2 linked regions of the Macaca fascicularis genome follow. The protein of the gene in region 2 purifies or fractionates together with the protein of the main gene of each other region. This does not show direct contact. Links are inferred from orthologs where the notes say so. Each region holds a gene or a part of one and is shown on either strand. Other genes may lie near its edges. The genes, in order: EZH2 and USP44.

Region 1 (8,063 bases), on a different chromosome or scaffold from region 2:
GCAGGATCCCATCTCTACAAAAAATAAAAAAATTAAATTAGCCAGCACAATGGTATGCACTGGTAGTACGTTGCTCAGGAGGATGAGACAGGAGGATCCCCAGAGCCCAGGAGTTCAAGGATGCAGTGAGCTATGATCTTGTTCTGTCTTGCTATTGTTAATGGAAAACAAGATCAATTATTAAGAAACTGCTAACCATATAATCTAAACACAAATTTGTCATATTTTCATACCAAGTAGTGGAACAGTGGCAAGATGTGGAATGGTGCAACCATCTTAGAAATATTACCAGCTGTAACTTTTGAGGTATCACTAAATTTGCTAATCCATATTTAAATCATTTTAAAAGAATGATGAAAAGCATCCCAATAAATGATTCAATTACACTGTCACATCCTTCAGTTTTAGCTCCAAAACCTACCTCAATTTACTCCAATAAAGAACTCATGAATTATAACAAAACAGCTTTTCAGTTAAAAGATCTACTACCCTCTCTCGCCCTTGCCCTTTTCCCTTCCTTGTATTTTTGTAAAGGGATCATCAATATTAACATTAAATCAAATTAAGCTGATACTATTACTAAATATCCAGATGATTCATCAAGTTCTCTCCAGTTGCCCGAGTGTAACAGTTGCATCTAAAAGATATCTAATTTTCAATACTACAGATTATAACTGGGAAAAACTTGGAACTTGTTCACCTTGACAATTATTTTTCTTTGTAATCATTCCCTATTAAAGAGGGAGAAAAACACCTCTCAAAGTTCCTCACATTAATACTAATATATCCTGTTCACTTTGCAAGTTCCTTAGTCAAATTATTTCCCTACATTTTTCATATTTCGTTAATTCATTCAACTATATTTAAAACCCCTATTCTCTAGCAACTACCAATGTAGGTGCTAGGTATACAAAGAAAAAAATAAGACAGAGCCTCTACCAGGAGGCACTTTGAGTGTAGGGAAGGGAGGGATGCATAAACAAGTGATTACAATACAATTGACTCATGCTACGATAAAATATGATCAAAGCCCTGTGGAAACACAAGAGTGTCTGGGAATTCAGGGAAGACCTCCAGAGGGTAAAGTATGTATCATCTGACCATGAACCTTTCTCTGAATTTAATGAATTGCTGCTCTTCACTTATGCTCTCCCCCGAAGATTTCACCTACTCGTATAGAATCTATCATGATTTACAGAAAATTTTTCATCTATACTGATATAAAGACTTCAAGGCTAATCCATAAATCATTGCTAATTAACCACAGAATACATTATATTGGAGGATTTGTCCTTGTTGGTTTTTAAAAAGCAGATCAACTTTCTCAATCACTGTTCATGTAAAGGGTAATACTGAAATAAATTCACAATCCTTGAGCACACTACCTCAAAAGCAGGAAGATATTCTGGGAAAATTCCAATAGGACTTGGAGAAATTTGCCTAAAATTTTTAAACGGCCAACATAAAGATATTCACTTATATTTATCTGTGCAAGGCAAAGCTAGGTATCAAAGTATCAGAACTTTTTCTAACTACACTAGATAAACAAGTGTGTTTTTTTTTTTAAGTCACTGCTACTTAAACTGACTAAATACATTCTGAGTTGTACCAGAAAATAATTTAAGATGAATTTTTAAACCAATTTCCCAAAGAGATGTTTTTCAAAATATCTCACGGCAAGTACAAAGAACAGTAATTATCAAATACAGAACACGCAAGGGCAAAGTTAGAAATTTTTATCCTAGGCTGGGCATGGTGGCTCACATCTGGATCAGCACTTTGGGAAGTGGAGGCGCGTAAATCACTTGAGGTCAGGAGTTCGAGATCAGCCTGGCCAATATGGTGAAACCCCGCCTCTGCTAAAAATACAAAAATTAGCCGGGTGTCGTGGTGCGTGCCTGTAGTTCCAGCTACTCGGGTGGTTGAGGCAGGGGAATTCCTTAAACCCAGGAGACAGAGATTGTAGTGAGCCCAGATAGGGCCATTGCACTCCAGCCTGGACGACAGAGCAAGGCTCCGTCTCAAAAAAAAAAAATTATCTTAAAATATCCGATTTTCTGCCAAATATCTGCATAACTAGCTCATCTCATAATGGACAAGATTATTAATAGGATTTTTTAATACAGAATTATTAGTAATTAATATAAACGTTATTTTTTTGTTATAATGTCTCAACACTTAGACCAGCACCTGGAATGCCTGTACAGTGGTGTCAACACTCTCCAAAATATATGTAATAAATTTATACTGCACTTATTTGTCTCCATTTTTAAGAAACCATAAGTTAGTAGATGCACATTAGATCTTTATCACATAGGACAGTGCAACCAGAAGAACGCCTATGTTTTTCTAACTTGTTTTCCTGGAATATACTCACTTTCCACAAAAACGAGAATTTAAGATGCAATGTTCCTGTTTCCGGGAAACCTTAAATATTACATAACCCAACACATCTCCAAAAAGAGAGAACAACATGCTTTATATCTATGACTAGAATCCTACCTATTCCTAACTTTAGAGACCATGAATAGAACATTAAAATATATCTTAAATACTTCTGTTTTCTTGCAAATAAAATTTACAAATAAACAAGTTAGGATTACACACTTGATCCGTATTCTTAAATATGAATTAGTTGCTAATGCTTATGAAGAGTAATAGAAAATAAACTCCAAAACCCCTAAAAGTATTGACTACATTCAACCGTGACTACATTCGTGTTTTTCAAAGGTTTATTAAATGCTGTTTTATGGTGACATCAAAACTCCACAAAATTAAGCTAATAACTTCCTTGAACCCTAAAAAGCAAGCCTTTAAGTAAACATCAAAGATACATTTTTATTTCCAAATGAATTTAAATGTTACAGATACTGTGTGATAAACAAAGGAAGTTTAACTGTGGACAGCACACGTTAAATTTCTTAGGCAACAAACATTTCTGCATCCAGTCTTTTCTGAATCACCAAAGCTATTGTTCACAGAAAACGAGACCAATTACTAAGAAACTGCTAACCATAGAATCTAAACACACATTTGTCATAGCCATTCTATTTTGATCACCTACTTCTACCACCTCATCCTCATTCAACCCGTCGGGATTTGGGAAATAATCTCTGGCTGAATGACAGTTGATTTCGTTAGCACCTGTCGCCATTCTCAGATGTATCACACAAGTTGGCCAAAACAGCTTGTAATGTTTAAGGATTACGATTCTTTAGAAAGTGGGAACTCACTAGGCGTTCACCAAGTTTTCCAAAAGATCGTGCTTCTCGATTCCTCCCGCTTTCAAAAAGTAACCCTGTGGCACAGATTTTTGGGGGCAGTGGAAGGGGATGTACACAATGAAGTGGGAATTCAACAGGAAGCCCTCCAAAAACACAATCAATAGAGAGCAGAACAGCTCGACTCTTCCCTCAAACTTAGCATAAAGCCAGACCAGGCGGCGAGGCAGCCCGCGACCGCCGGAGCTCAGGGGGATTTCGGGGTGCGTCCTGGGGAAACGTCAGAGGCGAAGCTACTCCGAGTTCCACGCCGCGAACGTCGTCCCGCGGTCGCCGCGGCCCCAGCCCGGGGTCAGCGCGCCCGGGATGGGGGCGTGCGCGGGGCTGGGGCCGAGCCCTGCCCACCCCGGCAGCGGCCCGCGCCTCCCCACGCCCCTCTCCCGCCCGCCGGCGGGCCCGGGTGTCATGCCCCTTCCCCTCGCGCCGAGACCTCCGGAGACACAGTCCGTCCTTTGTCTGAGTGCAGACTCGGCGGCTGGGTCCCACCAACTTGTGTCTGTCCCGTCCCACCCGGGCGCTCCCGCCGCGGCCGCGCCACACAAAGGAGACTTGAGGCTCGAGCTGCCACCCTGGACCGGGCACCGGAACGCCCCGACCCCGGCCCCGGCGCCCCGGCCAGGGCAGGCACCGGGAAAGCTGCCCCCCACACGCCCCCCGCCCCGCAGCTCCGGGGGTCCGCGCTGCCCCACTCGTAGGCTCCCGCTGGCCAGCCCTAAGCTCACAGCTCCTTCCGGGGAGGGGGGTCTCCCCTCACCCTCCACCCCCCGCACGCCTACAAACGCGGCGCCCGGGTGAGCCCCGTTTAGGCGATACCCGGGACCGGCACAGCAGCGGCGGGGAGGTCCTGCCGCCGCCGCCGCCGCCCGCTTCGCACTCCTGGAGCCCCACCGGCCGGGCCGCCCGCAGCGGCGCGTTACCTTCGTCCCGCGCGCCGGCTCGCGCTGTTCCCGCGCGTCGCCCCCGCGCGCCGCCGCCGCCGCCGCCGCCGCCGGGGCTCCACTGCCTTCTGTGTCCCACCGGGTGTCGGACGCGACCGGACCGAGCGCCAAACGCGGCAGTCCAATCGCCATCGCTTTTATTTGGCCCCCCCAACCCAATCAAGCACCGCCCCGATTGGCGGGACGCTAGGCGGGCGCCCGTCCAATCACAGGGCCCGCCGGGCTCGGAGGCGCCGAGCCAGCCCCACGCAGAGTGCGCTCAGGGCTCGCGGGCGGGCGGTGGTGGCGCGTGCGCGCGCGGGCGGTGGCGGGGCTCGCTTGAAGCGACGCGACTGGCCTTGTGGAAGCGCTGCCGCCGTCTCTTTGTTCTTTCGCTGAACACACGGCGCCTCTCAGGAAGGCGGTGTGCAGGCAGGCGGGGACCGGGAGACATCGCGGGGGCCCGGAGCCCACCGCGAACGGGAGGCGGGGAGGATGGGTGGCGGGAACGGGCCGAAGGGCGGGACGACGCGCCGGCTGCTCTTGGCGGGAACCGGCGCCGCGGAGTTCCCGGGCGGGGGAGGGGAGGGGAGGGGAGGGGCGAGGCGGGGACTGGAAGCCAAGTTTGAACCAGTTCAAAACTCGGGGGTGGTAACGGTTTTAACCGCCGCGCTCGTTTCCCCGCGCGCGGTGCCGAGGCCCGAGCTGGCCTCTCCTGGCGGTGCCCAGGGAGGGGAGGGCACGGGCCCCGGAGGTCGGCTCTGCTGCGGCGCGGCCTTTGCGGGGAGACGCTCGCCCGGCCCGCGCGCTGCCGCCGGCCCCGTTACTTCTTTTTTTTTTTTTCCCTCTGAGACGGAGTTTCGCTCTTGTTGCCCAGGCTGGAGTGCAATGGCGCGATCTCAACTCACCGCCACCTCCGCCTTCCGTGTTCAAGAGATTCTCCTGCCTCAGCCTCCCGGGTAGCGGGGATTACAAGCATGCGCCACTACGCCCGGCAATTTTGTATTTTTAGTAGAGACGGGGTTTCTCCGTGTTGGTCAGGCTGGTCTCGAACTCCCGACTGCAGGTGATCCGCCCGCCTCGGCCTCCCGAAGTGCTGGGATTACAGGCGTGAGCCACAGCGCCCGGCCCGGGTCCCGTTGATGTTGCCTGCTGCTGCCTCGGCCACTTCCCGCCCCGCCCCCCGCCCCCCGCCTCCACCGCTGGACTTTGGCTGAGCTCGCAGTGCTTATCGCCCTAGAAACCTGTGAAAGGGTGACATTACTGCCATTTCAGACCCTTCCAGTGTTTGTAGTGCCAAGCAAGTGTCAGTGTTAAAAATCGTTTATTAAGATGAGCGCTGTTCACTTGCCGCCTCTGCAAAGTGTAAGGATATTTGCAATATTTTTTAGTGATTAAACAATGATCTTAGTTATGGGGGGGTCAACCTGCCTCAACTCAGGAATTAGGGGGCTTCTGCTTAGGATACAATCTCTCCTATTGCTTCATGTGACAATGCAGTTAAGAGTATCCCGAATTTATTTTTACTAGGATGTACCTATGGGGTAAAATACCATTGTCCTGTAAACTGAGATTCCATATTGATAGTTCAGACTGGACACTGAAAAAAGGCCACCTATGATGTTGGGGTAAAAATCTGAAGAAATCTTTTTAATGATTTTAATAACTAGCTAGAATTTTAATTTTTATTTTTCTTTTTTTTTTTTTTTTTTTTGAGATGGTCTCACACTGTCGCCCAGGCTGGAGTGCAGCAGCGCCATCTCGGCTCACTGCAAGTTCCGCCTCCCGGGTTCACACCATTCTGCCTCAGCCTCCCAGGGTAGCTGGGACCACAGGTGCCCGCCACCACGCCCGGCTAATTTTTTGTGTTTTTAGTAGAGACGGGGTTTCACCATGTTAGCCAGGGTGGTCTCGATTTCCTGACCTTGTGATCCACGCGTCTCAGCCTCCCAAAGTGCTGGGATTACAGGCGTGAGCCACCGCGCCGGGCCATAATTTTTCATCAGGTGATTTAGCCCATAATTTTCCCGCCTTTCCTAAATCACCATTCCATTCCTCACATATATTCTGAACCACGCCAATGTTGGAAAGTATATATGAAGGGAAGCTAAAAGATAAGGAGAAACAAGCAATCATGTGCTCAGATAAAAGCAAAATTATCTTGTGAATCAATGATAAGACTGCAAAAAGTAAGTTATGCAACTGAGATGTGACTGTAAAATAACGTAACGAATTATAGCTGTCATTACTTACAGTCACCAATACATTCATTTTCCAAGATAAAATGCATCTATCTAGGCCAGCAGTTTGCAATTTTTTAAAACCAGCAACTTAAACCTCAGAAATTAACTACTTATCCCTAAGTTGCTTATCAAATTACTGAACTTATCAGTCCTATAATATTAAATAGTAAAACGACATTTTTTAAGAGGAAGATCAATGAAATTAGAGACTACCATAAAGCAAATCAAAGCAGTATATAAATATATGCAACATGGTGTGAAATGTCATATAAATTGTTAGACGTTTAGAATCAAGGGATGGATGGATCAAGATGTTCCAGGCCAGGCTTAGTGGTTCACACCTGTAATCCCAGCACTTTCGGAAGTCAAGGTGGGAAGCTCCAAGACCAGCCTGGGCAACATAGCAAGACCCCATCTCTACAAAAAAACTTTAAAAATAAATGGGTGTGGTGGCACGGAAGTACCTATGGTCCCAACTGCCCCCGAGGCCGAGGGAGGGGACTGCTTGAGCTCAGGATCTCAAGGTTACGGTGAGCTATGATGGCATCACTGCGCTCCAGCCTGAGCAACAGGATGAGACCCTGTCTCTAAAAAAAAAGTGATTGGACAAAATATGATTATTGGCACCAACTGAATGTTAGGAAAAAACAGAAACATGTAAAAAGAACTTTATAGAACGACCATTCCCACCGAGAAGAGTGTGTCGGTTGGACTCTAACCATTAAAGAGCTAGGTGGGATGATATTAAATATATATATAACAGATTTAATGTAATATGAAGGCTAGGGTAAGGGATGCCAGTGGATCACAGTATTTTCTTAATGATATTATCCATTTAAGCAAGGTAGTTTAGGCCACAGTAATGGCAGAAAAGGGATAATTTGAAAATAGTCCAGAAGGATTTCATTTTATGTGGGGTTTGTATGGTGTCTTGCGACTCCTTTCCGTATATGACAAATACAGCAAAGTTAGGAGGGGGAAGAAGTATTTTGCTTTTGCTACAAAAAAAAAAAAAAAAAAGTCTGAAGATGTCTAACCCAGGAAAGCAAGAAAATATACAAGCCCATTGTACAGACCTCTGTGACTATTTCAATGGGAAAAAATATGTTTAATATGTGTAATGAATAGTAAACATATGAGCAAGTGTGTGTGTAAATGCCAGTTACTCAAGGGGTGTAGATGAAGCAGAAAGCCAGGCTAAACGCAAAGGTGGACATGGAGGTTGAGGATCACCAAGCTTTTTCATTTCTGTGTAAAGATTGTTCTGCCTTGTGTGAACAACAAAAATTCAGTATTAAAGTTACAAGATGAAACCAAAAACACTTAAGCCCCAAAGTCAGGAAGTAGCACTACCTTTTTCACTGTTGTAACCCCAGGGCCTAGGTCTCCCGGCACACAGCTGATCCTCAGGGTTGTCCTGGGGGAGCTGGAGAAGATGAAGTGCCACGTTAAGGCTGTTAACATCGCAGAACTTCCCTTTGCATCCCTTGACTTCTCAGAACCTCCCTTTCAACCCCAAAAATGGGATTTACTTTCCACACGTTATTCAGCACTCATTTGTGGAGTGCTTACTCTGAATGATAATTATACCGAACATGAGGTGGTAATAAAAATAAGGCAGG
Region 2 (7,047 bases):
CTTTATTCCTTTGAACTAAAAATTACATATAAAGTTTTAAGAGATCTAATGTCATCAGACATTATAAAATGAACTCATACCCAAGGTAAACTATTTGAATAACATCATATACTGGTTTGCTAAATTCAGACTTTTTATGACTGCTTAATTTTTAGACTTCTGGACAAACCTGTTTGCTGCCAGACAAAAATCATAAATCCCAGGCATCATTTTTTCATGTCCATAGTTCCAAAGGTCACTTAAATATACTATTTGTAAAGCTGCCATTTTCATTTATAGTTTGACTATGCCAAATAAAGAGCAATTACTAAAACAATTTTGGGGTTACATTAACCAAAATAATGTCTATTACAAGGCCTGTTAACACACAAAGCCTCAGAAATACCAGTGAGTGTGACTGAAGAATATTTAGGTGATAACTTGACATGTCACTTCAATAACTCCAACGGGCAAGGTAACTTCAATATACAAATGAAAGAAAGACTATTAGTGACCAAGCAAAGTCTAATTTTCCATCTATTAAGAATTTGTATAGAAAATACCTGAAAAAGATAACACATGTATATAAAATGATGCCACTCGAACTTTGTTGGTAGAAGATTGCACAAATTCATGATCCAAGCCAATTAAGACATAAAAATATAAAAGAGGTAACATCAGCCTGAGGTAAACACCAAAAGTTTAAAACTCCAAATATTTGAAAAAAGTAGTTACCTTCAGTTGATACACACATTTATACTTTGTTAAAAAAAAAAATTGTAGTTAGATATAAAAATGTATAAATGTAGTATATACACTGATTCATAAGAAAAGTTTAAAATGGTACATCAGTCTTTTTAAAAGTATATATATAAATCACAGGAAGAAAACCCCATTGTCTTTGGATCAGCTAAGGATTTCATTAGACGAGGTATCAGCATCTTCACTGGGATGTTGGCTCCCGAACAGGAGCTCTGGAGGCAAAAGTTTAGAATGTCCATTCTCAGTAACTCGTTGGGTATAAAACAAGATATAAGCTTGAGCCTTGCATACTTCATCCATAGTGCACATGCTTAGCTTGGAATCATTGCAGTGTACCCAGAACCCTAGAGTGAAGCACAGAAATACACTTATGAAGGGACTTTATAAAATTCTAGTATGAATTGACTGAGAAGCTTTTTCTGAAGGGAAAATAATTTTCTAGCCAATTCATTTTTCTTTAACAAGAAATATAGATTGGGTAGTGTTACCTTGGAATTATCTACCTTTAATCTAGAAGTAGCTTAAGTTTACACAGCATGTGACTGATTAGAGTACCTGACACTATTTATTCCTTGTGTAAATCTACCAGTTAATGCTTTTGCCACTAATCATACAGGATGATCATCCCTAATTCCAAAATCTGGCCGGGCGCAGTGGCTCACGCCTATAATCCCAGTACTTTGGGAGGCTGAGGCAGGTGGATCACCTGAGGCCAGGAGTTAGTTAGAGACCAGTCTGGCCAACATGGTGAAACCCTGTCTCTACTAAAAATACAAAAATTAGCTGGGCGTGGTGGTGCGTGCCTGTACTCCCAGCTACTCAGGAGGCTGAAGCAAGAGTATAGAATGGCTTGAACCTGGGAAGTGGAGGTTGCAGTGAGCAAGGATTGTGCAGCTGCCCTCCAGCCTGGGTGATAGAGAGGCTGTCTCAAAAAAAAAAAATCCAAAACCAAAACTTTTTGTGCCAACGTGATGTCATAAGTAACCCTGAACACATTTTTTTCCACTGTATTAATGTCTTTTTTTTTTTACTGTGAAACTTATGTGCACATAAGTATAATGCACTTATGTACATTACATGCACATAAGTATGCTAATGACTGCTTATCATTAGCATATAAATCAGCCAGGAATTATGCTGATGCCAAACCACCAGACTGTATGAGTGGCTGAGACAGTGACACCTTTGTTTGCTGATTGCTCAATGTACACAAACTTATGAAACTTGCATTTTTTAAAGTGTTGTAGAAAATTATCTTTAGGCAATGTGTACAAGGTGTATATGGGTCCCATCCCTACAATACCTCATAATGTCTATGCAAAAAAATCCAAAATTCAAAACACATATGGTCCCAAGCATTTTAGACAAGGTATACTCAATCTGTATTAAAAAGCAAATTGGGTCGGGCATGGTGGCTCATGCCTGTAATCCCAGCATTTTGGGAGACCAAGGCTGTCAGATCACTTATGGCCAGGAGTTCAAGACCAGCCTGTCCAACATGGTGAAACCCCGTCTCTATTAAAAATATAAAAATTAGCCAGGCGTGGTGGTGCACACCTGCAATCCCAGCTTCTCAGGAGGTTGAGGTTGCAGTGAGCCAAGATCACGCTGCTGCACTCTAGCCGGGGGGAAAGAGTGAGACTCCGTCTCAAAAACAAACAAACAAAAAAAGCCAATAGTGTACAACTAACTTGGTAGTTTTTGGTAGTTCAGTGTGGAGTTACCTTGGTGGATTATCGGGCTTCTTGTCCTCACCTTTTTCTGTTTGGGGTGTGTTGGGTGGGGGTGGGGAGTTGGAAGTTCATTCTTTGTTCAACAGTAAGTATCAAAAGGGAAAGTACGGCTGGGTGTGGTGGCTCCTCTGTAATCCCAGCATTTTGGGAGGCAGAGGCGGGCGGATCACAAGGTCAGGAGTTCAAGACTATCCTGGTTAACACGGTGAAACCCCGTCTCTACTGAAAATACAAAAAATTATCTGGGTGTGGCCGGGTGCGGTGGCTCAAGCCTGTAATCCCAGCACTTTGGGAGGCCGAGACGGGCGGATCACGAGGTCAGGAGATCGAGACCATCCTGGCTAACACGGTGAAACCCCGTCTCTACTAAAATACAAAAAAAATTAGCCAGGCGAGGTGGCGGCGCCTGTAGTCCCAGCTACTCGGGAGGCTGAGGCAGGAGAATGGCATGAACCCGGGAGGCGGGGCTTGCAGTGAGCTGAGATCCGGCCACTGCACTCCAGCCTGGGCAACAGAGCCAGACTCTGTCTCAAAAAAAAAAAAAATTATCCGGGTGTGGTGGCACATGCCTGTAGTCCCAGCTACTAGGGAGGCTGAGGCAGGAGAACTGCTTGAACCTGGGATGCAGAGGTCGCAGTGAGCCAAGATCGCGCCACTGCACTCCAGCCTGGGTGACAGAGCGAGACTTCATCTCAAAAAAAAAAAAAAAAGGCAGGGGATGGGGGAGTAAAAAATGAAATCTCGATCCAATCACTTTTGCTAGAACTAGACTACCCTAGAAGATGGAAAATAAAAGTGAGTTTTGTATGTTAAACTTGAACAGTGCTTGTTCCAAATATCTGTGATCCCCCAGTTCATTAGGTGCCCTATTTCTTTAACAAAATTAACTGAAGTAAACCAGTAAACATACGATCTGCTTTTTGAAGTGTGTCTTTAAGAAAAGTTAACATTCTGACTTTTAGTTGGCAACAAGACTATCCTCATTATTATATTTCTCTAGCCCTTAGTCAAAAGTACCGCAAAACCTACAGAAAATATTTCATGCATCGACTCTCATGTTTTAGTATCTGCAGAGGTATTCTCCCTAAGAAAGTAAGTGGTCAAGTAGTTTTGTTTATGATTTAGTAGTCAATTTAGAAATTGGTTAAAGCCTGAACTCCAGCCTCCAAGTCCAACCCAAGATAAAATACTTTTTCTTATCTATACCTCCTTCAGAATTATAGCAGTAGGCAGTGTAGTGCCCTGAGCCAAATCCTTTCCCATGGTGCATCACCACCGCAGACAAGTCATAGATAAAGCATTCTGGTCTGAGGGATTTCAGGGTCTCCCTGCAGCAATAGGGCTCCATGTTTAAGATTTCCTCAAAGCCAACATGAACACCAATCTTCTCTCGGTTATTACATCCTGACCACCTGTGAACAAACCAGTGTGAAATTATCAACACAATTAAGGGAAAATAACCATGTACTAGGTCTAGACACTTGTAACAGATGACCCCAGGCAGTATGGAATACAAAGTATCATATGTAATATAAAATTATTTCAATGCTGAAGTTGGCTATAAACGGAGAAATTTTGGCTTATTTTGCCTTCTTGTAGTTAGATGACAATGTAGGGAAAAAAAATTAACTTTTGGGCAAGTATTGCCTTATGGGGGCATTTACCCCCTAACAGGTAAAAGTGAAGGCCACAAAAGGGTTGGGGTTTTTTTGTTTTTCGTTGTTTTAGAGATGGAGTCTCGCTCTGTTACACAAGCTGGAGTGCAGTGGCGCGATCTTGGCTTACTGCAGCCTCTGCCTCTCAGGTTCAAGCCATTCTCCTGCTGGGACTGCAGGTGTGCGCCATCACGCCTGGCTAATTTTTGTATTTTTAGTAGAGACAGGACTTCACCATGTTGGCCAGGCTGGTCTTGAACTCCTGACCGCAAGTGATTCGCCTGCCTTGGATTCCAAAGCACTGGGATTACAGGTGTGAGCCACTGTGCCCAGCCCCACCAAAGGGTTTTTAATTCCTTATTGTCTTGCCAGGATATGAAGAGGGTATCCCAGATGGGAGCTACAATCTGGATCTTTCTTGGCCAGGTATGGAGGAAAACAAAGCAGGGCACCTCTAATTCCTCAGAATACTTCAGAGATTTTCAGACTAAAACAACAGGAACTGTGTCCCCTTGCTGTGTGTAAGTCAGCACAACCGCCCACTGGTGACAGAACTGAAAGAACGCCCTTATCCTGTCATTTTCTCAGTCTGTTGCTCATACTTCCCCTTACTGGATCTCAGCATGGCAAGCAATGTGTTTATCAATACGCATAATGAGTTGGTCCTATGAGGGGAAAATAATGTAACGTGGTAGTTCAAGAGATTATAATCCAGTTTGTGGTGGTATGGTACAGAGACAAGGCAGACATAGATAAAAATACAGTAGTAAAGTACTAAAACATGAACTTCAGACAAATAACAGCAGGTAGAGAACAGAGAGACAGGAACACAGTTTTATGATGGAAAAAAAAAATGTGAAAATGCTTAGTCCAGTGTAAAATGGCATGGAACTAAAGATGAACCATGCAAATTATGTTATCTGCTGGACCATAAGTCATATTCCAAACTCTCTGTGTGGTTGTGAAAAATATATTTGGTTTTCCTTCCAGTTTCCTAAGATACATCTCCTAAAATTCTTGGAATCTCTGGAGTGTCTTGGCTGGGTGCGGTGACTCACGCTTGTAATCCCAGCACTTTGGGAGGCTGAGGTGGGTGGATCACCTGAGGTCAGGAGTTCAAGACTAGCCTGGCCAACATGGTGAAACCCCGTCTCTACTAAAAATACAAAAATTAGCCAGGCGTGGTGGTGCATGCCCATAATCCCAGCTACTGGGGAGGCTGAGGCTGGATAATCACTTGAACCCAGGAGGCGGAGGTTGCAGTGAGCTGAGATTGTGCCATTGCACTCCAGCCTGGGCAACAAGAGCTAAACTCTGGCTCACAAAAAAAAAAAAAAAAAAAAAAAAAAAAAAAAAAAAGTGTGTCTTTTGTATGCTAATGAGACAACTAGTGGCTGGCAACCCCTAGATAGCTTCAGCATGTGGGCAAGTCACAGGAAAGACCCGGGAATGACTAGAGGATTGGGACTTTCGGCTTCCTTCCAAATACCGTCCCCAACCCCCAAAGGGAATGGGGCTGAATGATGTAATCAGTCATGCCTATGTACTGAAGCCTCCATAAAAACCCAAAAGGATGGGCTTCTGGAGCTTCCAGATAGCTATCCATGCTGAGGTCCCTGGAGGGCGGCACCCCCAGGGAAGGTGTGGAACCTATACGCCCCTTCCCACAAGTCATGCCCTACACATGACTTCCGTCTGGCTGTTCATATGGATCCTTGAAACTCTCCTTTGTAATAAAAGGGTAAACATGAAGGTTTCCCTGAGTTCTGTGGGGCGCTCTAGCAAATTGATCAAACGAGGGGAGTGTGGCTTGTGAGAATCCCATTAAATGTATAGCCAACAGGTTGGTCAGAATTTCCACAAACCTGGAGTTATGACTGGTGTCAGAAGTGGGGGTCAGTCTGGTGGGACTGAGCTCTCAATCTGTGGGGTCTGATGCTACCTCCAGGTAGACAGGGTTGGAACTGAGCTGAATAAGAGGATACCCAGCTCGCGCTCACTGCAGAGCTGATTACCTGCTTGGTGGGGAGAAATCTCCTACACATTTTGGTAAGCAGAGGTCACATTTGTATTCTCTGTTGTAAGAGTATGGTAGGAGAAACTGAGTTCGGTTTTTCCAATATCTCTCAGCCAGGTGCCGTGGCCCACGCCTGTAATCCCAGCACATTGGGAAGCTGAGGCGGGCAGACTGCCTGAGCTCAGGAGTTCCCAGATTAGCCTGGGCAACATGGCAAAACCCTGTCTCTACCAAAAAAAAAAAAAAAAAAAAAGAAAGAAAGACAATAAACTGATGAAGAACAATAAGATAATATTATACCTAAAATTCCTAATGGTTTGCTTCTGCAGAGGGGAAAGGAACAAGACTGACAGGCACACACAGGGGACATCTACGGTATTAGAAATATTCTGCCAGGTGCGGTGGCTCATGCCTGTAATCTCAACATTTTTCTTCTTCTTTTTTTTTTTTTGAGACAGAGTCTTGCTCTGTCGCTCAGGCTAGAGTGCAACGGCATGATGTTGGCTCACTGCAACCTCTGCCTCCACAGTTCAAGCGATTCTCCTGCCTCAGCCTCCCAAGTAACTGGAATTACAGGCATGCGTCGCCATGCCTGGCTAATTTTTGTATTTTTATTTTTATGTTTATGGATGCATGTATGTACGTATGTATGTTTGAAACGGAGTCTCACTTTGTTGCCCAGGCTGGAGTGCAACGGCACGATATTGGCTCACTGCAACCTCCGTCTCCTAGGTTCAAGAGATTCTCGTGACTCAGCCTCCTAAGCAGCTAGGATTACAGGCATGCGCCACCATGCCCGGCTACATTTTTGTATTTTTAGCAGAGATGGGGTTTCACCATGTTGGCCAGGCTGGTCTTGAACTCCCGACCTCAGGTGATCCACCTGCCTAGGCCTCCCAAA

The links.
Region 1: the proteins of USP44 (region 2) and EZH2 purify together in Homo sapiens (affinity purification with western blotting; 3 studies listed by BioGRID, with this or other methods). This does not show direct contact. The link is inferred for Macaca fascicularis from reciprocal best matches to the Homo sapiens genes USP44 and EZH2.

What each region holds. Positions count from the first base shown.
Region 1 is NC_088377.1:190,534,309-190,542,371, forward strand, and holds the start of EZH2 (histone-lysine N-methyltransferase EZH2), read right to left. Parts: upstream 5,384-8,063; 5' UTR 5,178-5,383; coding exon 5,107-5,177; intron 4,631-5,106; exon of another isoform or gene 4,498-4,630; intron 4,335-4,497; exon of another isoform or gene 4,199-4,334; intron 1-4,198. UniProt on the Homo sapiens protein: Polycomb group (PcG) protein. Catalytic subunit of the PRC2/EED-EZH2 complex, which methylates 'Lys-9' (H3K9me) and 'Lys-27' (H3K27me) of histone H3, leading to transcriptional repression of the affected target gene.
Region 2 is NC_088385.1:102,567,413-102,574,459, forward strand, and holds part of USP44 (ubiquitin carboxyl-terminal hydrolase 44), read right to left. Parts: intron 3,887-7,047; coding exon 3,681-3,886; intron 1,086-3,680; coding exon 886-1,085; 3' UTR 1-885.